Xenopus tropicalis: one gene and its partners. The protein of the gene in region 2 interacts with the protein of the main gene of each other region in a pairwise test. Links are inferred from orthologs where the notes say so. Each region holds a gene or a part of one and is shown on either strand. Other genes may lie near its edges. The genes, in order: thap7, pin1, meox2, cnksr1, dab1, supt5h and zbtb9.

Region 1 (3,500 bases), on a different chromosome or scaffold from region 2:
TTTCTCGCAAATGTTCCTGTTGCAGAGCAGAGATGCGAAGTCGCAGTCGCTGCTCTCTACGCCTGCATGCTTCCAGCTGCCTCTGTACTTTACCTAGAGCCTCCAATGCAGATTCAGCCCGTCTCTTCCAAAGAAGGGCATTGCCCACATGATAGCTGTGCTCATTTTGGATGTAGGCACCAGGAGGCTGAGGTAGGCGCATCATGTAAGCTGATGGAGAGACAGGACAGGAAGGTTCGTCATCCCTTTCTCTGGAACTTTCCACTGAGTGCATTGACATATCTGAAGCCATTTTATCTCTTGCACTAGATAACTCCATGCTACAGTCTGAGATAGGCCCATTAATAACAGCAGAAACTTCCATATCTTCTAAAGTGCCCTCTGGGTGCATTTGGTCAACTGTGGTGGCCACAGCTCCTTCTGCCGGAGCTGTATCAGTTGGAAGATCTATATTTTCAGGGCAGAGTCCATGGAAGTTAACCAAGTCTTGAGCAGGGACTCCATCATACCTTTTATGATCAAAACATTCTGCAGTAGATTCATCAGGGTTACCTGACAGACTTGGATCAATATGTAAAGGAAGATTCCTGCAAAAAAAAGTCAGAAACCCATATAAATGAAAAAAATACTGTATTAGAAAAGGTAATAAGAGATAAAAGCTTTATCTACATAGGAGCTGAAGCAGTGAATAAGAATTTTTAGAAACTCCCCTCTTTTCCTAGAGATTCTGTTTCTGATACTAAATCCACTGTCTATACTGTATGTGGGTTCCCTCTCATCACCCTGTAACTGTTATTCATGTGTCTGTGTTGAGAGACTCATGAAAGCCATGACAGCACTGAGAAACTTACTCCTTGATTTACTGACCTTGAATTATTTAAAAGATGGAACTATTGTGAAAAGGAAAACTTAAGTTAAGCCTAATCTTATAGAAATAAGGCTTTTGTGATATATAAAATCAGCTTAAAGTTCTTGTCTCAAAATCACATTTCTATTCATTATTCCCCTCGTAGCAATCTGTTTCATGCAAGTCAAAATACATTGGTGTCTGTTGCCTTTGCCTAGACAACGTATTACAAATGTCTTTTTCTGTTTCTATTAGATGAAGCTTATATTAAATTTCATTTTCAAAATAGTTCCCCTTTAAATATTTGCTTTGCCAGAGTCCAGGTCCAATGTTAAACTGTTATTTGAATGCTGTAGCCCCCACTTACACTAGAAACCAGCCAGTGGTGCAGAAGTCAAAATAGAAGATGAACAGGAAAAAAAATAAATTAAATCTAGCCTCTTATACCATGTTTTCGCCACTAATCTTGGCAACAAGACATCTTTTTGCTGTGCAAGTTGGGGAGAGGAAATCTGGAAAGCAAATAATTTAAAAACAAAATGTGGTAAAACGAAAAAGAAGACCAACTGAAAAGTGTGAATTCAGAACAAAGAATAAGTAAGCCTTTTATCATAAAAGCCCCTAAAAAGATTTCATACAGCCTACAGAATAACATACATTACTCCCTGCACTCCATTTCATGGAGATTCTGTATCACAAGCAGTTCAACTTCAGCTCTCACTGCTACTTCCTAGTGTAGCGTTAAGCACTGTCCCCTTTGCTGAGCTCTCCTCTCTATGACTGTGAAGACTATCAAATAGGTGTCTATAGCACATGCCTAAGTCAGCAAGCAAGAGGAGTAGAAACCTCTTCGACCATCTACACAGTCAGAGAGTGAAGGAGAGCTTCATGCTAGACTAGGAAGTAGCTGAAGAGTCAAAGTTTATCTGCTTGTGGAACAGAATTTACATGTGACTGCAGGAAGAAAAGGTATGATATTCTGGGCACTATTTAGAGTCATTTTAGAGACAGAAAAAGGGTTTACTAGTTCTTTAATAAATGTTACTCTCCAGGCAAATTTCTTCTTTAATCCAGTAGATGGCCGCCAGTAAGAAAAAACAAACACACACCCCTTAGCCGTATATTTCATTACCTTTTCCGTTTCCCTTTTGTGTTCTTTGCATTTTTCCTTTTTTGTGTTTTAAGCTTTGATGCTCTCCGAAGCTTGGCCGAGGACATGAATAATGTTGGGACAGCGTCTTCTTTGAGACGATGGTAACCACTAGGAGACAAATGAAAATCAATGCTACAATACCTTTAACGCAAACATATTTACTCAGTGCAGTCAAAATAACGTTCTTAATAGTCCTTTAAAAGAATACCTGAAACCTTTTTTGGCACAATAAGGTAATTCAATGCAGGGAGATTCCCTTGCAGTTATGATGAACTGATAACATACAATGCTTTGGTGGTGAGCCCCTATGTTAAGTACCTGCAATGAACTTTACCCACAAATCACTGTATGATAACAATACTTGCAGGGAAATCTCCCTGCACTGAATTGCCTGCTGTGCCAGTTGGCTATGTCATTAATACAGTAAAATCTTTGACAATGTATTAGTCTGCAGAGAAACATTTATGTGGTGTCCCGAATGTATTGGAACTTGAACATTTGACCTGCTGCTGAGCAAAAAACTATCCACAAGTCACAAAAAGACCAAGCCGCAATGCAGAATGCCAAGCAAAAAGCTTTTTTTAAAGGAGAAGGAAAGGTAAAATCACTGAGGGTGTCAAATGTTAGGCACCCCCCAGTGATTATAATCACTTACCTGATACAGGTATAGGATCTCTTATCCGGAAACCCGTTATCCAGAAAGTTTTGAATTACGGAAAGGCTATCTCCCATTGACTCCATTATAAGCAAATAATTCTAATTTTTAAAAAGGATTCCTTTTTTCTCTGTAATAATGAAAAAAGTACCTTGTACTTGATCCCATCTAAGATATAATGAAACAATCCTACTGGGTTTATTCAATATTTAAATTATTTTTAGCAGACTTATAGTATGGAGATCCAAATTACAGAAAAACCCCATCCGGAAAACCCCAGGTCCCGAATATTCTGGATAACAGGTCCCATACCTGTACTACAGGCCTGTGCCCCTTTCAGCAGAAAACTGTGTGTGAGTGATGCTTTTCCTCCTGTCTTTTTTCTTCGCAATCTTGGGGCCTACGTATGCACAGTACAGTGAAAAGACGGGTTTGTTTGTTAAAGTTCAGCTTTTCACTCTACAGCACAAAGACAGAAGTGGATAACTCATTTGCAGGTACCCCCAACTTATGCAGGTTTCTGCTAACAGGAGAACCGACCTAGGGAAAGTGATTACAATCACAGGGGGGGGGGGGTGCCTAACATTTTGGTGCTGGGGTGTTGGACGTACTTTTAAAATCATATGTCTGAAAGGAAATTTAAGTCTCACTTACCTTGTTCCAACAACTTCAAAACAGCTTTTCTCAAAGTGTTTAGAACAGAAGTATACATAGTCAGAAGAAGGATCCCAAAGACCTTTGCCACTAGGATCAGTCCGCTGGCAGTTTGCTATCCAAAGATTTCTGCGGGGATCATCTTTTCTTGGAAGCCTTGAAAAGACATATAAAAGAAATCCAATTCATAA
Region 2 (4,136 bases):
GACAGCTATATTGATTATAAAGTACAGCAAGAGTATCTAGTACACAGGCAGTAAAGTAAAGCCAAAGTTTGCTATGTCAAAAGAACATTTATTCCCTGCTTACGTCTATACTCACAAGCAGCCATAACTGGGTATAAAAAAAAAAGCAGGAGAATTCATAGCATAGCGTTACTCATACATTAACATATCTGCTCATTTGATCTGAGCCAGATCGGATTGTTCAGATTGACTGGCTTCTGGGCCAATAAAAAGCAGATTCTAAAATGGCCCTATGCAGACCCATTAGTCAAGGACAACATAAACGCACTAATTCAGTTCTCGTCACCATACATGCATTTATGTATAATTTTTTTGTAAATAGTGCTACTTATGAATGCAGCACTGTACATGGGCCAATAAGCTGCAAACGATCTCTCCCTACTATTATCCCCCCACCGCTACTATAGGCACCATCTCTCCCTACTATACCTGCTATCCCACAGCCCCAGTCCCTTCCCAGAGGCTATTATCCCCCCACTGCTACTATAGGCACCATCTCTCCCTACTATACCTGCTATCCCACAGCCCCAGTCCCTTCCCAGAGGCTATTATCCCCCCACTGCTACTATAGGCACCATCTCTCCCTACTATACCTGCTATCCCACAGCCCCAGTCCCTTCCCAGAGGCTATTATCCCCCCCCCCCACTGCTACTATAGGCACCATCTCTCCCTACTATACCTGCTATCCCACAGCCCCTTCCCAGAGGCTATTATCCCCCCACTGCTACTATAGGCACCATCTCTCCCTACTATACCTGCTATCCCACAGCCACAGTCCCTTCCCAGAGGCTATTATCCCCCCACTGCTACTATAAGCACCATCTCTCCCTACTATTCCTGCTATCCCACAGCCCCAGTCCCTTCCCAGAGGCTATTATCCCACTGCTACTATAGGCACCATCTCTCCCTACTATACCTGCTATCCCACAGCCCCAGTCCCTTCCCAGAGGCTCTCTCTCCCTACTATATCTGCTATCCCACAGCCCCAGTCCCTTCCCAGAGGCTATTATCCCCCACTGCTACTATAGGCACCATCTCTCCCTACTATACCTGCTATCCCACAGCCACAGTCCCTTCCCAGAGGCTATTATCCCCCCACTGCTACTATAAGCACCATCTCTCCCTACTATTCCTGCTATCCCACAGCCCCAGTCCCTTCCCAGAGGCTATTATCCCACTGCTACTATAGGCACCATCTCTCCCTACTATACCTGCTATCCCACAGCCACAGTCCCTTCCCAGAGGCTATTATCCCCCCACTGCTACTATAAGCACCATCTCTCCCTACTATTCCTGCTATCCCACAGCCCCAGTCCCTTCCCAGAGGCTATTATCCCACTGCTACTATAGGCACCGTCTCTCCCTACTATACCTGCTATCCCACAGCCCCAGTCCCTTCCCAGAGGCTCTCTCTCCCTACTATACCTGCTATCCCACAGCCCCAGTCCCTTTCCAGAGGCTATTATCCCCCCACTGCTACTATAGGCACCATCTCTCCCTACTATACCTGCTATCCCACAGCCCCAGTCCCTTCCCAGAGGCTCTCTCTCCCTACTATACCTGCTATCCCACAGCCCCAGTCCCTTCCCAGAGGCTCTCTCTCCCTACTATACCTGCTATCCCACAGCCCCAGTCCCTTCCCAGAGGCTATTACCCCCCCCACTGCTACTATAGGCACCATCTCTCCCTACTATACCTGCTATCCCACAGCCCCAGTCCCTTCCCAGAGGCTATTACCCCCCCACTGCTACTATAGGCACCATCTCTCCCTACTATACCTGCTATCCCACAGCCCCAGTCCCTTCCCAGAGGCTATTACCCCCCCACTGCTACTATAGGCACCATCTCTCCCTACTATACCTGCTATCCCACAGCCCCAGTCCCTTCCCAGAGTCTATTATCCCCCCCACTGCTACTATAGGCACCATCTCTCCCTACTATACCTGCTATCCCACAGCCCCAGTCCCTTCCCAGAGGCTATTATCGCCCCACTGCTACTATAGGCACCATCTCTCCCTACTATACCTGCTATCCCACAGCCCCAGTCCCTTCCCAGAGGCTATTACCCCCCACTGCTACTATAGGCACCATCTCTCCCTACTATACCTGCTATCCCACAGCCCCAGTCCCTTCCCAGAGGCTATTATCCCCCCACTGCTACTATAGGCACCATCTCTCCCTACTATACCACGGCCCTTTCCCAGGGGCCACTGTACTAATTTAGGCCCCACTAAGGATCTCTGAAGGGCCTTGCCTGCTTGGCTCCTGACTGAAGACCATTCCCGAGCAGGATACATACAATACATAGCCACAAGGCACCATGTTAATCACAGACACATCAGCATCTAAGCAGGAACAGATCGAACTCTGACACAAATGACACTGAACAGATAGGTGCAGATACTAGGGCACCAGTCATGGCCCCATACAGTAGCAGAAGCAGTCAATGCTTAGCATTTCTTAGTCTGTTTACAGGCGACTAAATACTATAATGCGCAATGCAAAGTGGGAATTGTAGTTCTGCAGCTTTGCAACAGCACCTTTATCAGGACGCTATGCACAGTGCAAGACACAATAAAATAGGAACAGCTACAAAGCAAACCAGCGCTGCACTAACTCTATATAACAACTGTGCCCGCTACACTCCATATACCCGAGCTTCGACTCATGCGCTTCTCCCACCCGGGCGGTAGCTTCTCCTCGTCCGCCATCTTTCCCTCCTGCGTCAGGCCAAGCCCCGCCTACACAAACCACTCCGTCAGCTCGGCGCTTCTCATTGGTTAAGTCCCTGCTAAGCTTTTAGCCATTAAGCTAACTAATCTGCCGACGACGTAGTCAGCCTGAAAACCGAAAGCAAGGGCGGGAAATGATATGCGCCCACTATTGGCTGTAACGGAATAAACGGAGTAATTAATAAAACAAGGGGCGGGGCTGAGAGGTTGTACGCATTGGCAGCAGTATGACGCATGCGCAGAAATGTGTTCGCGTCTCTCTCTATTCTTACGCATTAAAATTGCTCTCACAAGCATGGGTGGCAGGTTAGCGGTTTTTCTGCCAAATTGGGCTACTAATTTAAAGCCCTGGTTTGTTTTTAAATTACAAACCCGCCAAAGTACCGTTTTGGACTAGTTTTTGGAGCCTTGGCGGGTTTGTAGTTTGGAACCTAGCCAGTTTTTTCCCCTAGTGTGCTTGTTCCACTGCATGCTGGGTAATGTAGTTTGTAGCTAACAATTAGCCTACAACTAGGAGTAATATAAAACTACAATACCCAGCTTGCAATTGGGCAGTTTAGCCAGAGGCTCCGTTTTCTATTCCTTTTTGCTCTTTCAGGCTCAACCTGTATGTTCTGCTCCCTGCTCTATAGGGTATGTGATGTGGGGGCAGGTCTGTAGTTATCTTGGGGCTGCTGAGAGTTGTAGTTGAACGCACCCATATTTATAAGTCTGGGGTTAATGCAAGATTCTGAATCTATTTCTGTAGCGACTTCCCAGCTGGACTGGGCACAGAGGGCAGGGAATTATCAGCCATTCCAGTAACTGGGTAGTGATTATATGCTTTAAAAAGGCAGGTTTTCCCATATGTACTTTTATTTTTGTAGAATTTTTTTCATTGCACATTGGGCTATTTTTGGGTTACTTTCAAAGTGGGTTTGGACTAGTATTTCACTGGTTTTAGAACTGACTGGCGATTTGGAAAAATAAATCTGGCAATTTCACATACAACCTTCCCTGGTGGTCTAGTGGTTAGGATTCGGCGCTCTCACCGCCGCGGCCCGGGTTCGATTCCCGGTCAGGGAAAGTGTGTTTTGCTTAATTGTAACAACAGCCCTTTATTTTATTGCTCAATCGTTTTTATAACAGCAGCCATTATTAAAAAAAAGCTTGCCAGCTTTATATATAATATAGAATAAAATAAAGATGATAGTTAGTGATATTTTATTGTGTGACGAGATCATGTATGGCAGCTTTGCATGCTCACTGAAACTGTAGGCGGATTTTTACAAGAGAACTGGGATGATAGTACATTACAGAGGGGCTGTAGTGGTAAATGGAAAGTTTCACAAGTGCCCGGCTAGCTCAGTCGGTAGAGCATGAGA
Region 3 (4,044 bases), on a different chromosome or scaffold from region 2:
AAACTACAGCATTCTCGTCACAGCCTAAGGCTAAAGGCTGATGATTGCAGTTCAGCAACCCCTAGACGCCCATAGTTTAGATTTTTCTATGTCGAAATATGCACATATAATGGATAGGACACGGTCCGGGCCATTAACTTTGACTCTAGATTGTATAATTTGGATAGGTATACTGTTTCACAAAGCCATCCTTTCATTTCTCCAGAAACCAAATGCCCTTAAAACAATTGTTTGTGAAGTGACTCTAAAAGAAAGAACAGCAGTTTCTCAAATTCGCCAGGACCCAGTTATTGGATACACCGTGGTTAATGAAGCTAGTTTGTCATTTTTGCTCTGTGATTAGGTATAGATTTCCTGGTAATTTATTTTCTTTAAACGCTTGCCAATGTTATCTTCCCTAAACAGACAAAACAGAAGGGGGGGGAGAGGTTTAAAAGCATTGCAAGCCTAGACAGACTAATTAAACACTGGAATAATAACTTTTGAAAAGTTGTCTTGTTTAAAGCCCCAAGCCTGGAAGAAAAAATAAGGTCAAACATATGTCACGAATTACTCATTTGTCATTCATGTCTTATAATTATTGAATAACCATTCATCCCAATCAGAATATCTCATAAGACTTAATTAGGAATGGTAAGCAGGTCATCTCCAATTATGACTTCGCTTTCACTTATTCCACTGACCACTTGTCTGATTAGTGAGTTAATATAGTTGCACTTATCTCTCGCCATCATCTAATAGCAGGATAAAGCTACTCCACTTTATATATATAAATATATATATGATAAGCATCGAAATCACCAATGAACTGGAACATATAATACATATTTCAGTTATGTTTATATTCAGTGTGATATACTATGTTCATTTCTTATGCTACTGATATGCAAGTATCACGTATATTGTATTTCTTTTACTAGAATTTGCCATTTTAAATGGAAATGGAAAAGAGGATTTTAGTGTTCATGTCTGTTTGGGGTATTTCAGGTATGACGGAAGGTGTCTGTTATGAATCATTTGACTTTTTCAGTTCTAGATATTGATTGGTAGTTATTCATATCACTATTGATATGCAGCGGATTAAAAATGTATATATTATTATGGTCTGCCAGAGATTCTGATCAGTGAAAGTGATGTAATAGGCTCAAAAGAACTGATTTCACTGAAGTGGCTTATGTGACTGAATTAAAGCAAATATTACCCATCACTTTGCACTTTGTTAATTAAACTCTTAATTTGATGCAGACTGTGTATATGGCTTTCCCAGAGGAGGTGTTAGCTGATAATATAATTAACACCTTTCTGCAGTTGCTGGGACGGGCAAAAAAGGCTGCCCTCCCTGGGATGAAATCTCTCTATTTTATTCCTGCAGGAAGGGGGAATGGGCAGTCTAAATGTGCCAATTGTCTTTTTATCTGCCATAAAATTGCATTTGTAATAGTTTGGCTGCTGAGAGAAACAGGAGTCAACAAGTGATCTCCATTTCTTGTTATAATACTGCAGTGATACTGGATCAGGCTGAATAAGGATGGAGTGCAGCACGGGTTTCTGAAGGATTGTGTCAATAAATAGATTGTAATTTCAAATGAAAAAATGATACTTGGATTCAATCTTGCTTATTAAAGGAATTTGATATTCTTTTGACACTGACAGGATTGTTACATAGGAATACACCAGGAAAGACTTGAAAAGAGGGAACTATTTCTGCCCGTTCGTATTGTAATGTAATATACAAGTATTTCCTGTTTAAATAGAAACTTTTTACTTATAATATGTCTTGCATAGCGTTTATAACATTCCTATAGTGTTAGCAAGCTGCACATGTCTGAAATATTGTATACATGCTAGTTAGCAAGTGTCTAACTAGTACTTTTTACACTGCTAAATGCATTTGCCAGTGAGTACGAACACAAAGCTTTGAGCAACAGAAAAACCCCTCTCTGCTCAATTTGAACTGTCAGAAGAAGCTGCCGTATGCATGGATGCTAATGGCATATCCTAGGCATACAGTTGCTTAGGTTTGCACCACTGCTGTGCCACTTTCTGCAATGCAGTGCTAATCCAATACAAGGCATCACAATTACCAGCTAATATATATTTCCTTTTTGCTGCATGCTCAGACATTGTAAACACAAATATCCTTACCTGAACTGTCACTTTTTCTTTTGCCAGTCCTCTTTTCTGCTTCTGCCGGGGAGAGGGTCTGTCTGCCATAGTCCCCTGTCACACAAGCTGCACCCGTTGAGCTGTTAGTGCCCAGGCTGGATGTGTTTGAACACAAAATAGAGGGGCTGCCACTTAGATCTGGAGGTCCAGATTCCTGCTGAAGGCAAAGGCTATGTCTGGTGGAGGCAGGAGGAGATGACATCTGAGGAATGTGCCAATTTGATTGCAAGGTCTGGTGCTGTTGTTGCTGGTGATGATGATGATGGTGATGATGGTGATGATGTCCTCTGTGATGCTGGCTCCCAAACATGCCCTCCTCATTGGGATAGCCAGTTAATATGCAAGAGGACGAAGAAGAGGATAAATCAGGATAGGACATGTGGTCGGATCTTCCATGGAGGGCAAGAGAAGACTGGGCAAAGGGGTGTAAGCCCTGAGAGGTGGCATGGGGGCTGCGCAGGCAGCCAAACAGTGTGTGTTCCATGGCATACAAGTTTCAAGTTGCAGGCTTGAGATTCTGGCAGGATTAAACTCCACAACGCTGTCACTTTTCACTGTAAAATGATATTTTTCCCAAACAGTAACGGCACACTTTCAGTACAGATCAGATAATCCAGGTCTTCAGCCTGGTGGCCAGTCTCCTGTGCTTAAACAGTTTGCTCTGACCAAGATGAGCTTTTGCAGAGCTGCTCAGATGTCAAGAGTAGGAGAGGTTAAAGCCAACAGAAGGTGGTCCCAAGGAGCTGCTTTAATGGGGGAACAGCTAAGAGAGGATATAAATAGTGTGTAATGTGAGCTGGGGGCTGGCTTAGCAACACAGTACTGACCACAAACTCTCTCCAAAACTTTAGCACTCACAGATCCTTCCAAGTTGCGACAGCATCACTGCACTGTCTATGTACAACTTAAACCGGTTCTGCCCATTGCTAATATGGATATAGAGAAACTGCACGCAGGTCTTAGTAATTCATATACTGACACAATGACAAAAAGCTCATTCTACCGTAAGAAATCAATTGGAAAGTATTGTGCCATGCCAAGCAATACATGCCATTTTATTTCTTTTTTAGTGTTCTGTGTAGTGAATGTGATACAATATAAATAGCTTTAACTAAGGCACCATTAACCTACTGTTACTGAATCTATAACTCCCAGAATCCCCTGCCAGCTGCACTAGGTTATAACTTTTTACCAACATAGGACATATATGTGCAGTTTTATACAGCGGGAAGTAAGCAGTATACATTGTTCTCTTTTGGCGAGAGTAACGCAGAACCTGAGTAATGTTCTCCTCAAATTGTTTTCAGAAATAGGAAGATGTAACATCCTCTTAGTAAATAGGAAACATGTGTGTTTTCCCAACTAAAAGTCACACCTGTGTTTTTCAGATGTTTGTCCCTAAAATCTGCTCCAGGTACTGCTTACTGCACAGTAACACAATATTGTTCTATTCATCAGCATAAATACTCATTAACCCCTTCACCTATGGCACAGAAGCCTAGTTTGTTGTACCAGCATAGAATCTTTTATCTAAAATGCTTGGGATTTGAGGTTTTCCAGATAAGGGATCTTTCTGTAATTTGAATCTCCACACCTCAAGCCTGCTAAAAATCATTTAAATGTCAAATAAATCCAAAAGGATTGTTTTGCTTCCAATATGGATTCACACAGCTTAGGTACCATCAAGTACAAGGCACTGTTTGATTATTACAGAGAATGAATAAATCACTTTTAAAAATTAGAATTATTTGCTTAAAGTGCAGTCTATGAGAGGTGGCCTTCTCATCATTCAGAGCATTCTGTATAATGGGTTTCTGGATAAGAGATCCCATTTAAGCAATTCACTGTCTGTAAAAGACTATACAATCCACCTGTATA
Region 4 (3,500 bases), on a different chromosome or scaffold from region 2:
ATAGAAGAAGTTAATGAATCTACCTGTAATGTGTCAGCCTCTGTAATGGGTAAAGCCTTTGTCTCCTTGGTTTTTTGATCAAAATTTTCTGGAGATAAGGGTGACAAGGGGAAGACTGAAGTAGATTCCCAGAATGTTGGAGACCAAGGACAGTTTGCAGATAAAATGGTGTCCGAGTTCTGTTGAGAACTATCCTGATTTTGACTAATATCAGTGTTGTGTTTATTAGTAAAGGAGAATTTATCTGAAAATACTGGTGATGTGCTAACACTGTTCAAGTTTAATACTGAAGGAGTGTCCTTTGTTGGGGTGACTGGTGCACTACGTGTGGTGCGCGTCTCAGTACTTTTGCGCAAAGCCAGTATCAGATGACTGGGGGATTGCCTGGCTGCTGCTACAGGTGTAATTTCAGCCTTTGGTAATGATGGCTCACTGTGTGCAGTTAATGTGGTTTTGCTGGAGTGCTGAATAAAGTATGTGGGAGAAGTAGGAGATACAGAAGTAGAGGGAATGGAAACTTTCTTGAGGACAAGTGTTACACAGTCTGTTTTCTCTTGAAGTTTGTAGACAAGGTTCTTGCGTGTCCAACCAACCTAAGCAAGAAAACAATCATTTAGAAAAATAAAATCAAAAATATAACAAAATGATTAGATATCATTTGTTTCAGCATAATTTAAGATCCTGTAATTATCTTTCATATGTTCTCCAGCTTTATATGTAGGTGTTACAAGTAATGTACAACATCTTATAAAGAGCATTTTAATTTATTCACATACGCATTAATTTTAATGTTCTTTACATTAATATGATTCAGAACATTAGTGTGAACTTCTCATGTCTTTGGTGCTGATTCAAAAGTAACAGTAATAGCAGCAAAAGGAACAAGGCAGTATGTACACAAGTGATCCAAGTTGATCATTTTGTAAAAGTAGTGCACAGAAATCTTCATCGCTAAACCCCCTCAAATGCACTGGCAATGCATCTGCACTGTTTATTTTGGGGAGTAGGGACAGGCAGAACAGTTACAACGGTGTGGAATATTTAAACGTTGCCCTTACAGTCTATATGCCAAACAAAATTAATTTAATCATTGCTTTCAGTGTAGCTGTCGGAAAGTTACTGCCATTTAGATTTACAAAAGTTTGCATCTGTTTTTTTATGATGATTAGCTCACTCCAATAAAGCAAATAATTCAAACTGTATACTTCCCTTTTACAATATATTATATTTCAATAAATGTAAATAAATAAATAAATAAATAAAAGATTGTTAATTTTCAAGCATGGTGTAGAAAATAGGATTGCAACACTTCTCTCCACCTTTTATATACCATAAGCTGTTTATTTGTATGTACAAAATCTCAAAGGAAATACCAGTAGAATTCTCATTTGAGAACTACAGATTTATTTACATTTGCCATGCATAAAAGAGGTATTTCACAGAACACCAAATTCAGCCACATGTTTACCACCACAAAGCTTTTCACACAGAATGGAAACATATTGCAATCCAATAAATGCACGTATAAGGCTCAATTCTTTTGCAGCATACATATGAGATAAAATCACTTACCACAACCTGATCATTTACTTTTATTATCTCATCTCCTGGGAAGATCTTGCCACTTCTTCCAGCTGGAGCCTAGGTATAGTATGTGAAGAATAAAAAAAACTTTGTAAATTGAGTACAAGACTGACACAGAGTAGGCCTGCCAGAATTGCTTGTGACTAAGATAGAATAAGTATGAATGATACTGTGAGAAAGATCATATGAAGATAGGAAGAAATGAGCTAAGGAGAAATGCAGCTAAAAGAAACAAGGAAATGGTTCTATAAAGACTGCTAAAAATGTGGGAATAAGCTGCTAATGCACCATGCATTGGCAGCTTATTCCCACATCTTTAAAAAAAATCGTTTAATTAGTGAACAAACATATACCCATAGTACATGGATATTAGAATCTGAGGGGTTGGCCAGCTTTAACTTTTTTCTTTTAGAACCTGCTTAAATTCTTGGATAGCAGATATCAACCCTACTCACACACATAAGTAATAAAATGCACTTTTGATCAGGAGCAAATAAACATTAACAACCACTAAGATGTTTGCTTTATGCTACTTGCTGTACAGGGCCCCCTATAATGGCACAGCATGAAGAGTGTTGCACAACAAGTTTGGAAGCCACCATCTTCTAATGCATGAAAATCCAGTTTTCTCCTGAACAGCTATCAGTGACTTAAGGTGGCCATACACATCGAGGTCGCCAAGCGAGCGGATCTTCTCCCGATATCCCCACCTATGGGTGGGCGATATCAGAGTAATTAAGGCTAATTAGGTCGTTTGGCCTTGGGGCCAAACGATCAAATTATAGCGACAGTAATAGGCGCAGTCGGTTCAGGGACCACTTCAACGAGCCGATGCGGTCCCTGATCCGACTGAATTTTTTAACCTGCCCAATCGATATCTGGACGATACAGGCCAGATGTCGGTCGGACAGGCCCATCGTTGCTGCCTCTACATGGCCCGATAAGCTGCCGAATCGGTCTAAGGGGCCGATATCGGCAACTAGAATGGGCCCGTGTATGGCCACCTTTAGCAACTTAGAGTTTTATTGCAACCAGTCTGATCTTCTCCCATTCTGACAAAACGACATGTGATTTGAATGACCCCTACCCCTGGATGCTTTCCTTGTGTGGCTTTGTTTACCCTCTTGCAGAAGACTACTGATTTTATCATCTGATTTTTTTTTCTACAAATAACATTAGTTTGCCTCCAAATTGCTTTTTATCTTCAAAGATAAAAAGCATTCAAAAGAATATGTTTTAAAGCAACATCTGCTACCTATGGTTTTATCCAGATTGCTACCACAAAAAAGCAAATGGCACTCCAGATTGCTACCCTTGCAAAGATATAGAAGACTGTAAAATTACCCAAGATAATGATGGATGTATGAACATCTTAACTGAACCTAACACTAAACGATCTGCGATATATTATGAAAGTGTTTTCTATTGGGACAAAAAACATTTATACAGAAATACAAAATTTCTGATCCTGAATCAACTGACCTCTGCTGTTGTTCCGCAGACAAAGTGCTGCCCCAATGATGTAGACTTTATTTCTATACCCTGCAATAAAATGATAACATGGATGTAATGACAGCTTTATGTTGCATATGTATGTATGTCTGTCTGTATGTATAACATGTACTTAAATTATGAACACTTATTAATTGACTATAATGATTAATTATTAATAAGTGTTTACATTTTTATTACTATTAATTAAAACACTAATTGTCATCACACAGATAGATGCACATAAACAAATGCATTCTAATGTAAACATCTTTTTCACTTTAAGTAGTAAGCTCCTTTGGATAGGGCTCTCTCTACCTTTTGCATAGGTTATTGGTTGTATTTTGTTTGTATTGAATCTTTATGTTCAATGTATATACACATTTATTGTACAGCACTGCAGAATATGTTGCCACTTATTTAAA
Region 5 (3,500 bases), on a different chromosome or scaffold from region 2:
ATTTTACTAAGGGGGTTATTTATTGTTTTTTTACAATTAATGTTTTCTTTAGTCCAAAAAACTATTCATTTGATTTATGATTTAAAAAGCTTGAATTTATGATATTCATAAAGCAAAAAAAAAAAGTGTGAAAGTCTTGAATGTAAAACTTCAGCATCTGAAAGCTTGCAAGGTCACGTAGAAGTCAGTGAGAGCTGTCCTAGAGAAAATGTAACCTATACAGCCAGTTCTAGTTTTTTGAGTTTTTCCAATTTGAAAATTTGAGGTATTTTCTATTATTCGATTGCATTTTTAAAAAATTCAAGGTTATTTGATGTAAAAATAATATGAAAATTACACAGATAGGAATTTTTATAAATAACACCCAATGAATCACGAGAAATCAAAAGAGAACAAGTGGTGATAAAAGTGCCCCTATGTGTTGTACAGGCATACAGCAAAAACTCTTCCTACTTATACTTCAAAAGAGAAATTATTTTTAGTCTACTGTTATCCTTTTTTATTCTGAGCGATAATAAATTATATATCCATAACCATGCCTAAATATGCATTATTTGTCTTTTTCTCCCATCTCAGCACATTTTGTGCCAGTATGCTTTATTATGATCAACAGTTCCATGCAAACTAGACTTCTTTCTGTAGAGGAAATTGCTTAAAAATGACAGCTCTGCTTTATTATATTACCATACTAAAATAGTGTTACCAGGAATAATGCTTTTGGATTTTATTTTCTTAAAGGTCAGAGCTGGAAGAGTTCATTTCAAATATCCATCTATTTAAAGCCTCTGCAATTACTTATATACTTTAAGATGCCTTTATCACCACTCATCTTCTGAGCTCTGCTTATTCTAATGAATATATCTAGAGAGAAAGGAAGTTAAGACATTGGTCTGTATATGGGGCCACAATAATTCTTTTTCCTGACTGAAATCCATTCAGAATCATGCATATTTTTGTGAGACTGCGAGTTAAATAGTTGGTTAAGGACACAGTTAGCCCATTTACATACTAGGCAGTGTAAACTGGTTTCCTTAATTTAAAAAAAAAAGATCCCATTAGGCTCATTGTTATTGCAGTCTATTTAAAACATTAATAAGTAAACAATTATAAAAGAAAAAGATACAAAAATAACTTTTTTTGGGAATAGGTGGACTGGTTTCCAAAACACATCTGTCCAATTATGTGTTAGTAGTAAGTAGTAAGTAAAACATAAAATTAACACATTGTTATATTGTCTGTGCTGAGCAAGAGATGAGGAGAATAAGCAGTTAGGCTAATATCATATGAGGCTGTTTCTCTGTCTTCGTAAAAACCCAGCTGATACGCACTCATTCGCTCCTTGCGATAAGTGCACTGACATGAACTGGCTTAGTCTGTATAAACATGGATTGTATTTCAAGGTATAAATGTGAATTATACATTTTCACACTAAAATTGCATCTTGTGTGTGCACACAGGCCAGGGCAGCAGAGAAACAGCCTCATGTGATTTTAACCCTAGAGATGCTGTAGGTTGTCCCTAGAGTCAGTGGAGCTAATAAACTAATGACCAATGATCAATTCGCTTTGATTGGTTAAGTGTAGAATTTAAGACAAATGCCTTTTGTAGTTTTACTTGCCTAAGTTTTACCCTAAACTGAAATGCTGGTCCTTCCCATACACTTTTGTGGTATGGCTAAAATATGAGTTATAACTTTACAGCAAGCAAAATGTACTATTATTCGGTCTGTGCAGACTTTCTAGATTATATTACACTGTGTTTGACTCCTAGAGCACATTTCACTGGTATAAGTCAAGAAAGTTTTTCCAAGTATATTCATCTCAAGCCCCCATGGAAGCTGTGTTTTCATACCTTACCTCTTGATTAATCACCATCTCATGAAAGTTTGATTTACATGCAAAATCTAGCATTTCAGTAAGCACATGATAATATTTAAGATTCAACTCTTATTTACAATAACATTCTTCCTCTTTCAAAGGCATTTAAGATGAAAATCTTACCGGGAACTAATTTCAAATATTGTCCTTCAATTGTAGGCAGAGCCAGTCATTTTGGATTTGAGAGATTTATTTCAGCTTATCTATGAGCTGAAGCAGAGGGAAGAAATTGAGAAAAAGGCACAAAAAGATAAGCAATGTGAACAAGCTGTATATCAGGTATCTATTCAGCCTTGGCTTTGGTTTTTGGAAATGTCAACAGGCAAACTGATCAACCTTGGAAAAATATATTTTAGTTTATATGTGAAACCAAAGGAGTTGTATTGCAAAGTCCATTGAAGATACAAAATGGTTTAAAACTTACTCAGCTTTTGGGATTTGGGATTCAGTTTGGAAAGATGTTTTTATATAGGCCAATAGACCATATATAGTTTGCATTTCTCCATACAATATTACATTTAGTACTAGGTGTAATATACAGTACGCTCACATAACTTTGTGTTATTGACAGTTCACTGTAGGATATACCTAATCTCTTGCCCTAAAACTGTTGTTGTACTATAAAAACCATCAACAATGTCTTGTAATTCTGGGAGATGTAGTATACCAACAATCGAAGGGCACATTTCAACTTTATAATATAATACTAAATGTGGTGAAACATCAGACACCTCACTCCCTAATTGTAGAGTTCATACCTTTTTGCTTTGTGTCCCTTTCCCTGCTTACCTTACTTCAGACAATTTTGGAAGAAGATGTAGAAGATCCTGTTTACCAGGTAACATCTCCATCCATAGACCACCCATAAACTAGACTCATTTCATTATGTCTTATAGCATTCAGCAAAACTAATGTTATTTAATAAACCATCATATTTTGTAGTGCTATAGAGATGAGGTAGGAAGCCTAATTTATAAAGAATCAAATTAGCAATCTTTACTACTTTACACACTTTGCCAATTACTATTGATTAGAATTTCATATTTTCAAAGCTTCAAAACCATATCAGAGTCATTGCTGATAGATAGATAGATAGATAGATAGATAGATAGATAGATAGATAGATAGATGGATAGACAGACAGAAAGAAAACAGAAGAAAAACATTAATTGATTGGAAATAAATTTTGCCATTTCCCAAATTTATTGGTGAAGCAAAACAGGGCAGTTTAGCTCATCACTAGTAATAAGAACTTAAGCACCTTGTCATTCCACATGAAGAGCATTATCCTCATGTTTTAAATAAATAGTTCTACAAAATAAAGTGTTTCTGCAAATGTGTATACATACATGTAAAAAAAAAAAATTTTTTTGGTTGCTTTTAGTGATCACCAATTTTTTTTTAACCAGGCATGGTTTTGTGGGGAAATTCCAAATTTCAGATGAGCCCCCAAGAAGGGCGAAACCGGTCTGTAGTTGGGAATCTGATCAGCTATTGTCCTGGCTTCAGCTTCAAACCCAGTGGGTGAGCTTTAGCCTATAGGATAAACCCATGTAAATGGGATTTTTTTAAGAGTTTGGAGTTCACTCCCAGAATTCCTTTTGTTAACATTAGGTGAAAAAA
Region 6 (3,500 bases), on a different chromosome or scaffold from region 2:
TAAATTTACAGCGCTGAACCACAAGAGTTTGTGTTTCAGAGCCGATATACACCCCATGTCTGCACCTGGGACGAAGCAAAGATTCCTGGGTGAAGGCAAAGAAGGCTGATTCTCAGCCTCCAGTGTGGCATCAGCCTATAAGTCAGGGTTTCTGTGATAATAAACATGGACTTTGCTTCACAAAAAGTACATCATACCTTAAGGTCTTCATGTTTAGGCATAATTGTGATTTTGTTTCCATCCACACTAAGAATTTTTCCTTGTAAGTTTATCAACTCCCCTTCGCACACCTCCACGTTGTCCCCTGGCTGCAAGCTGTGTTCTCTCTCTTTGCCTGTTCAGAGAAAGAGCAGCATACATGTACATATACCATGGCATTCATCAGCAGTAGGTGTATTTACCAATCATTGAGCAGGACTACAGCCTTTGAATTAGTAATGTGAGAAGTGAGGTCTACAAAATCTTTAGCAAAGTATTACATTCTACTGTTTGAGAGATCATTACCTGTTGCTTCAGTCACCACTTCCAAATCAACTCCCTCTGGCTGATCCTCAAACTTTTCTAATTCTGAGAGGGTAGGTTTAACACCTTCTGTGATCTGGTGTTTACAAAAACAAATATATAAAAATACTTTAATATGAAAAACAATTTACTCAAGCATGTGTGATAGGTCACGTGACCTGTGGTGTTTTAAATGTTGAAGAAGGTGTGAAATGATTATTGGTTTACAGAGGGAGTGGAGTCTCTAGAAAAGATGCCCTTTCCTTTCCCTTTTTCTGCACAATAAAATGAATAAAAGAATCATGCAAAGATTTTTGTGATGCACCTAAACGTTTGCTATCTGTGGTAGTGCTATCCATGTTAATCTATTTCAACTCGTCTGCAATCAACTGACCTCTCTATATAAAATACACACAAACACACTCACACTCTCTTGGCTGGAGCTAAATTCATAGAACTAGAATACTTACAACGGCAGACATGGCAAAGCTTTTAAATAGGAAACCTTTGCGGCTGTATCGATTACCCTCAAAAATAAGAAAATCTCCATCAGATGAGACATCTCCACCCAGAGACCTGTTATAAAAAAGCAGGAAAGTCATACTGTTATAGTGAAACGTAAAGGTGGGGTGATTTCTGCTTCATATTAACCATTATCACCATGAACTCACCTGATTTTTTCAGCATTAAAATGTTTTTGGGGTGGTCTCCGAAACTTCTTTCTCTTGGCAAACCAATCTTTCTGTAAATTGGGCGGAAGGGGGGAAGAAAGACAGCTTCATAGAATGCACAAGGTACATTTAATAGCTTTAGAGGACAGTGTCTTATAATACAGTAGTAACAAAAATTAAAAGGTTTGTTTATGAGGAGGGAAAACAAAGTCAACTGGTATACAGAAGAGGGAGCTGAAGGAGGTTACATTTGGTAAAACTCATAATTAATTCTTATTCCCTGCATTATTGAAAAAGGGACTACCCAGGACAAAGGCTTAATGTAAGTAACCAAGTAATCTTCAGGGTGTTTTCGTGATTAAGCCAAGAATGGGAAAAAGGGGGAAAAAGTAAGCAGATGACAAGTCTAGAGGAAATAAAAGGTGATTAGTATGAAAAAAAAACTAGGTGAGTGGAGGGATTCAACAGGAAGAATAGATGAAAAGCCTAAGCATTGAAAATGTTACAAGTTGGCTAACGGTGCGGATACTAAACAAACAAGGGTTTCTCAAATCTCAAAGTTACTCCTACTGGTGTAGGAGGTTGGTCTCTAATGCCAGTTATATTATTTTCTAGATATTCTGCTTGTGTATCTTGCTCAATGGCAAGGGAAAATATATTTATGTCCAACATATACAGCTTTACAAAAGTCATCTGTATTGTACAATTAAAATACGATCCTGAATTTGTCTTACCTGTCAATGAATGCTTACATCATAATCTTTTAATCAGAAGGCTTATTAAGGTATTTTAACACAATGTTAATGAAAAGGCAATCAAATCAGTTTATGGAAAGAAAAGAAGGCCTGACTAACTTACCAGACTCATACGTGCTTTGATACGATCATAGTCAATTCGAGGAATCATTTTCAAGGAGATGGTGTTCTGGCTTGGCTCTACATAATCAACCTAATGAAGTGAGAGAATATTCATTTAAATGCGCTTTCCTCCATTGCAAGGCTTGACATGGGAATGCTGGATAAATCAGTAAAAACCTTTTCCTTTACATCTATAAAGTTATATAAAGTTTTTTGTATTTTTTTGTTACGCAGCTCTCAAAAAAAATACAAACAACTTTTTTTATTATATAACTTTTTTTTATTTATATACATCAGGCTAAAAAAAGAGCAGAATACGAAGTCTAATAAATGTAAAACCATTAAAAAAAAATGAAGACCAACTGTTCAAAATAGGTCCAACATACTCGCTTTAGTATGCTTTCTACTATAGACTTGAGATGTGAAGGAGCTGCTTTTTGATCATAATGATCACAATGACTTGTAGGATAATACCAACCATGGCTTTTTTTTTCAGCAGCTCCTCCTACTTTATGTAGCACGTACCTGGGCTATGTCATCCTTGTAGATGCCTCTCTTGAGCCTCACCCAAGATTTGGGCTTGAGATTGGTCACCTCCTTCACAACTTTCAGGACATCTGTCATTTCCTTAATGGGTACCATTTGCTGATTCCAGAAGCCCATACGCAGGTTGCCAATGCCTTCAATGGCCTGCTTTACGTGGGTTTGTTTGTAAGCCTCCACATAGATGTAACCCTTCACATGCTCTGGAGCAACTACTGACTTTATCTGAAGGGGCTAAAGCATGAGAATAATATGTTAGAGAGAAGTTTAAGGATTGGAAAAACAGAGAATACACAGGAAGAATAAAGCAAGAATGTGGTGGCCACATGTTATCTTATATGTAAGGATAATTCTAACATTGTCATCAAGTAGACAACCCTACATATGGTGAGGTCTCTAAATAGAGCATAAAGAAGGGGCTAAAAAAGGAAAATGGCCATAAAATAGAAATGGATATGGAAATAGGGAAAAATCAAAGCTGGTCTCACTTACTGTATCAGTGAATTGGTAGGCGATAAATTTGCGCATCAGAGCAATAGCTGTAGCTCGTTCTTCTCCTATCTGCATGAGAAAAGTGGAACAAGTAAAGTACAACTGTATGAGGCACTCCGCACTGAGCATAAACCAACATCGACACCCAATTCATACACATAAAATGCTGATATGGACCACAACCACTCTGTGTGCAGTAACATGCATCAATGGGATCTGCATGGCTGTGCATATAGAAAAAAAAAATTAGCCACTTTGTAGGTAAAAAGATGCTGAGAGAACCAAAACCAGATATAAACTTCTCATACTTCAAACAAACTGTCAATTAAATTCAGATCAATATCCACTGTAGACTGTAGCATGCGTTGACATTATCGGTAGATTTACCAAGCAGAATGAGTATTTCATGTGTATCCTGGTTTAAATAAGTGAGCTG
Region 7 (4,176 bases), on a different chromosome or scaffold from region 2:
CATGCTGCCTAGAGATTTGTATCCGCAACTGTCAGAACAATAAAAGAGAAGGGAGAATTGAACTGAATTGATATTTTGTAATGAAAGTATATTGGAGGTAGGTTTCTGGAGGTAAGGAGCCTGAAAGGGGATTTTATTTTTGACTTTAGATCCCCTTTAGGATCAGATCCACCTTTTCAGGTCACATATTCCCAGTATTTGTCTGTATATAATTAAAAAAGTCTCTTCTCACATACCATTTTTCTTGACTGTGTCATATGATATAGTTGTGTCAGTAAATAAAAAAATATTTTTAACAAAGAAGTATCATATATATGTAATTGCAGGGGCTAAGTATCAGTGTCAGAATGAGATGCCAGGTGCACACTGCCAAAACTTTAATTCCTCCTCTCCTCCTTCAAACTCTTTATTATCCTAGTCTCTTTTCTCTACATACTAACGTTTATTCATCCATTTACCAAGCTTCCATGTTCCCATCCAGAAATAGGCTAAATAGTTAGAAGCAAGAGGGCCCACTGACACCTGGGCCCACAGGGAGTTTCCCTGGTATCCTGGTGGGCCAGTCTGGGACTGGTAGGTATAATTAAATATGAACTTTGGACAGTGGATGCTTGCATTGTTGTACCAGTGCAACTTTGCCTCAAAAATGTGTCCAGAAGGGGGAAGGGGGGGCCTGCTGCATGCCCTGCACCTGGGCCTGGGGAGGTATAGTTCCGCTACTGTTTGGAAGCATAAATCAGTTTGGTGTAATGATCTCTTGTACCTGTTATCAGTGTTGGACTGGAATACCAGGGGCCCACCAGAAAACCTTAGAACATGGGCCCACTCTCCAAAATATTATTCTCCTATTACATGCTAGCATCTATTTTTCCATCTATTATTTGTATTTGTTCCCATTCAGAAATAGGGAATGACCATGAAACAGGCCAAATGGTTTGGAGCAGGAGGGCCTACTGACCCCTGGGCCCACCGGGAGTTTCCCTGGTATCCTGGTGGGTCAGTCTGACACTGCCTGTTATAAACTTAAAATATACCAGAGAATGCATATCACCACATAATTTCACATTTAAATATTCCTTTTTATCTGTACTTCTTCTATTTGCTCCAGCTCCCTATTTTGGTCCATCACACTAAAACGAATCATTTATTAGTTCTTTGACCTGGTTAGTAATTTGTATTGGATAATGTATGTGAAAGCAGGCTACTCAGCCTGGAGCTTTGCAGGCAATAGTAACATAGTGCTGTGAGAGGCAGATCACTTGGCACACCACACAGCTATAACCCTCTATGGAGCAGTTTGTATCATAGCCACGGTTTATTACAGCACATTCATACTACTTGTGCTTGTGGTAGGTTCCTAAAGGAAAGAGCGCAATATATCCCCCTTCTGGTCTCCAGGGGTAACTACAGGTGTGAGCGGCGCTCTGAGACAAGGGGTAAGGTAATGTTCGTCCATGTGATACAGGCCCGGATGTTTCCTAGCTCGTTTTCCCGGGGATAGCGCCTACTTGTCCCTCCTCCTTACTCTCGTAGAGATGTGACTACGGAGTCCCAGGGTTGGTTATACTTGTCCCTGACCGCGTTTTGCATGGCTCCAATTTGATGGTTTCCCAGGGTTACACACGTTTGTCCCGCGTCTGGCCTCCACGGGCCTGGCTATGTTTGTCCTGCCGCTGGTGCAGTGACGGGCTGCTGTATTTAGGGAGCTTCAGGGGAGCAGGGAAGTAATACGGTATGTTTCAGGGGTGGGGTTTATAGCGCCTTTGTGAGCAGTGCACTTATCAGAACTCACAAACCTGTGTCTAGTCTGTGGCCTTCTAGCTAGTTTGGGACTACAGTTCCCAGCATCCTTCACATACAGCCGAACTACAGCGGTAGAGTCACTATTTACAGTAACGGACACCAGTAGCAACTATGTACCATAAGGCCACAGGCTGTATTGATTGGGTAATGGGTGTGTGGGCCTGGCTGGGAAGGGAACAGGTTATCGGATAGCATTTTGTTATATGTACTTGTATTTTGGGCCTTATTGCTCCTTGTCCTCCCTCAGCCCTGTCCCACTGCCTGATCGCTAGGGGAGACTAAGGTACAAGCTCGCAGGGGGACACATAATAATGGGACACATAGCCCAGTAAGGAATGAGGGATAACTGGGGCAGTGCTGGGCATCACTTTCCTACCATCACTCCTGCCATGTAAATGGCTGCTAACAGATATGGAATTGGCTGCCCTTTATATGTTATAATGTTTCTCTGATGCAGATACATGAAATCCATCATTAGCTGTGACCAAACAAAGCCTCACACGGGATATTGTGTTCAGGGGAGACAGTATGTAGCCATGACAGGTGCTTAAACCAGTGATTTCAGGCAGATATTTTAGTATGTGAGTGACTTTGGGCATTTTAAACATGTTTCTTCGGCTGATAAAAAATATGTGGTGATCAAAGTGCAGAAAACATGCCTTTTTTGAAGGGTGAGCGCTTACGAGAGCCTGAGGATTGTCCAGCAGACAGTCACACTGTTCTACCTGGTGCCCAGCACTCTATATACTGAGCTTTTACATAAGTGCAGTGATGCCAAAGTAAAGACGGCTTGTGGGCACATAGCAGGGACTATTTCTCTGCACCTTGCTCAGAAAAACTGTTATACATTTGCAGCCCTGCACTGGTAATTTATTTAAAGAAGTAAAAGTGTATACAGTCCCTAATGTTGTGGCCCAGGCTTTTGGGTGTCTTGTAAAAATCTTATTTATAGTCTGATTATCAAGAGAGCTTGTTGGGTTGCAGCATATACACAAATATCCCTGGTGAAGCCTCCTTGGTTGTTTAAAGATGTTGCATCATTGACAACCCTGCATATTAGACTTAGGTACAATTATAATATTAGCTAGGCTTGTGCTCTCCAAAAATGTTTATTAATTCTGAAAAGTATAACTATAAACACCAATATTACTCCATGTGATATCTACACCAGGGGACAGGAGCCTAGTGTGGTACTACATGCCTGTCAGTGCCTGGCAGGATGGATCTTGTCATGAAAATGCTTGTGTGCACACAGACAGGAAGATGTCTTTCTGTCAGCCAGGGTTTGAGTAGATTGTCTTATTCTCTAAAAGAAAAAAACCCTGGTGTAGCATTAATTGTATAGTTTCATTTTTTAATGGGAAAAAGCAGTAGTTGCAGTATTAAACAGAGGGTTATTTTAGTGTATTGTATAGGTGCATTGACTCCAAAAATGAATAAATAAAAAAGTTGCCCTGCATGTTTCATGCCTTTCATGAACACTACGACGTAGTGCCCTTGAGCAGTATGAAACCATTTGCACTGTATCAATTTACTTCTAAAATATTTAAAATATTTTTTTGTATTTTGGAATTCTTGCATCCTGTTCCAAAATAAGGTAGCCACACGTAAAGATGGCCACATGTGCCAGATTCAGCTGCCCATATCAGTCCCTTAGAGCGATTCAGCAGCTTATTTGCCAGTGTATAGGCACCATCGACAGGCCTTCCCAAACGGCATCTGACCTGAACCAGTGGCACCTATGCCTGCCATTTTAATTTGATTGTTTGGCCCTAGTAAGTGGGCATATCGGGAAAAGATCCTCTTGCTTTATGACATTGACAAGCAAGCAGACCTTACAGTGTATGGCTACCTTTACGAAACACAGTTTTGTGAAGGTAAACTACCACTTGAAGTCTGCCCCCCAGTGCATGTATGTATATATATAATATATTATATCAAATTATTCTTTATTTAGCGCCAACATATTCCATAACTATCCACACCTGTCCCTGCCCTAGCGGAGCTTACAACTTAAGGTGCATATAGCATTCACACACGATCATTTTTCGATCAGAAGCCATTTATGATAAATGTTTTTTCAGTGTGGGAGGAAACACAATCATTGATAACGCATTAAAACTCATAGTACCCTCACTGGAATCAAACCTATTACCCCAGCACTCCAAGAAAGCAATGCTAACAGTTACACCACTGGTTCTTCATCAAGTACATGCATTTTGTCACTGTGCACCCCTTTATACTATACAGCCTTTTTTTACATAACAATTTCAGTATGATCTGACAAATTATTGAATTATCGTATGGGTGGTGTGCACCCAACAATCGTACATCTGCTGTTCTTTCCTCCGACATTGGTCAGAGAATTGATCG

What was found.
Region 1: the proteins of pin1 (region 2) and thap7 interact in binary tests that used the Homo sapiens proteins (3 or more experiments, as listed by UniProt). The two-hybrid records come from large-scale screens. The link is inferred for Xenopus tropicalis from reciprocal best matches to the Homo sapiens genes PIN1 and THAP7.
Region 3: the proteins of pin1 (region 2) and meox2 interact in binary tests that used the Homo sapiens proteins (3 or more experiments, as listed by UniProt). The two-hybrid records come from large-scale screens. The link is inferred for Xenopus tropicalis from reciprocal best matches to the Homo sapiens genes PIN1 and MEOX2.
Region 4: the proteins of pin1 (region 2) and cnksr1 interact in binary tests that used the Homo sapiens proteins (3 or more experiments, as listed by UniProt). The two-hybrid records come from large-scale screens. The link is inferred for Xenopus tropicalis from reciprocal best matches to the Homo sapiens genes PIN1 and CNKSR1.
Region 5: the proteins of pin1 (region 2) and dab1 interact in binary tests that used the Homo sapiens proteins (3 or more experiments, as listed by UniProt). The two-hybrid records come from large-scale screens. The link is inferred for Xenopus tropicalis from reciprocal best matches to the Homo sapiens genes PIN1 and DAB1.
Region 6: the proteins of pin1 (region 2) and supt5h interact in binary tests that used the Homo sapiens proteins (3 or more experiments, as listed by UniProt). The link is inferred for Xenopus tropicalis from reciprocal best matches to the Homo sapiens genes PIN1 and SUPT5H.
Region 7: the proteins of pin1 (region 2) and zbtb9 interact in binary tests that used the Homo sapiens proteins (3 or more experiments, as listed by UniProt). The two-hybrid records come from large-scale screens. The link is inferred for Xenopus tropicalis from reciprocal best matches to the Homo sapiens genes PIN1 and ZBTB9.

Annotation. Positions count from the first base shown.
Region 1 is NC_030683.2:102,973,938-102,977,437, reverse strand, and holds part of thap7 (THAP domain-containing protein 7), read right to left. Parts: intron 3,466-3,500; coding exon 3,310-3,465; intron 2,109-3,309; coding exon 1,980-2,108; intron 588-1,979; coding exon 1-587. UniProt on the Homo sapiens protein: Chromatin-associated, histone tail-binding protein that represses transcription via recruitment of HDAC3 and nuclear hormone receptor corepressors.
Region 2 is NC_030679.2:136,780,425-136,784,560, forward strand, and holds the start of pin1 (peptidyl-prolyl cis-trans isomerase NIMA-interacting 1), read right to left. Parts: upstream 2,801-4,136; 5' UTR 2,752-2,800; coding exon 2,694-2,751; exon of another isoform or gene 2,658-2,693; intron 1-2,657. UniProt on the Homo sapiens protein: Peptidyl-prolyl cis/trans isomerase (PPIase) that binds to and isomerizes specific phosphorylated Ser/Thr-Pro (pSer/Thr-Pro) motifs.
Region 3 is NC_030682.2:36,891,089-36,895,132, forward strand, and holds the start of meox2 (homeobox protein MOX-2), read right to left. Parts: upstream 2,801-4,044; 5' UTR 2,651-2,800; coding exon 2,146-2,650; intron 1-2,145. UniProt on the Homo sapiens protein: Mesodermal transcription factor that plays a key role in somitogenesis and somitogenesis and limb muscle differentiation. Required during limb development for normal appendicular muscle formation and for the normal regulation of myogenic genes.
Region 4 is NC_030678.2:76,989,685-76,993,184, reverse strand, and holds part of cnksr1 (connector enhancer of kinase suppressor of ras 1), read right to left. Parts: intron 3,127-3,500; coding exon 3,067-3,126; intron 1,642-3,066; coding exon 1,573-1,641; intron 594-1,572; coding exon 24-593; intron 1-23. UniProt on the Homo sapiens protein: May function as an adapter protein or regulator of Ras signaling pathways.
Region 5 is NC_030680.2:87,414,939-87,418,438, forward strand, and holds part of dab1 (disabled homolog 1), read left to right. Parts: intron 1-2,036; coding exon 2,037-2,156; intron 2,157-2,676; coding exon of another isoform or gene 2,677-2,715; intron 2,716-3,500. UniProt on the Homo sapiens protein: Signaling adapter of the reelin-mediated signaling pathway, which regulates the migration and differentiation of postmitotic neurons during brain development.
Region 6 is NC_030684.2:81,692,723-81,696,222, reverse strand, and holds part of supt5h (transcription elongation factor SPT5), read right to left. Parts: intron 3,134-3,500; coding exon 3,065-3,133; intron 2,807-3,064; coding exon 2,555-2,806; intron 2,121-2,554; coding exon 2,031-2,120; intron 1,244-2,030; coding exon 1,173-1,243; intron 1,078-1,172; coding exon 972-1,077; intron 599-971; coding exon 505-598; intron 335-504; coding exon 198-334; intron 1-197. UniProt on the Homo sapiens protein: Component of the DRB sensitivity-inducing factor complex (DSIF complex), which regulates mRNA processing and transcription elongation by RNA polymerase II.
Region 7 is NC_030684.2:71,795,640-71,799,815, reverse strand, and holds the start of zbtb9 (zinc finger and BTB domain-containing protein 9), read left to right. Parts: upstream 1-1,376; 5' UTR 1,377-1,436; intron 1,437-1,459; exon of another isoform or gene 1,460-1,556; intron 1,557-1,562; exon of another isoform or gene 1,563-1,732; intron 1,733-4,176. UniProt on the Homo sapiens protein: May be involved in transcriptional regulation.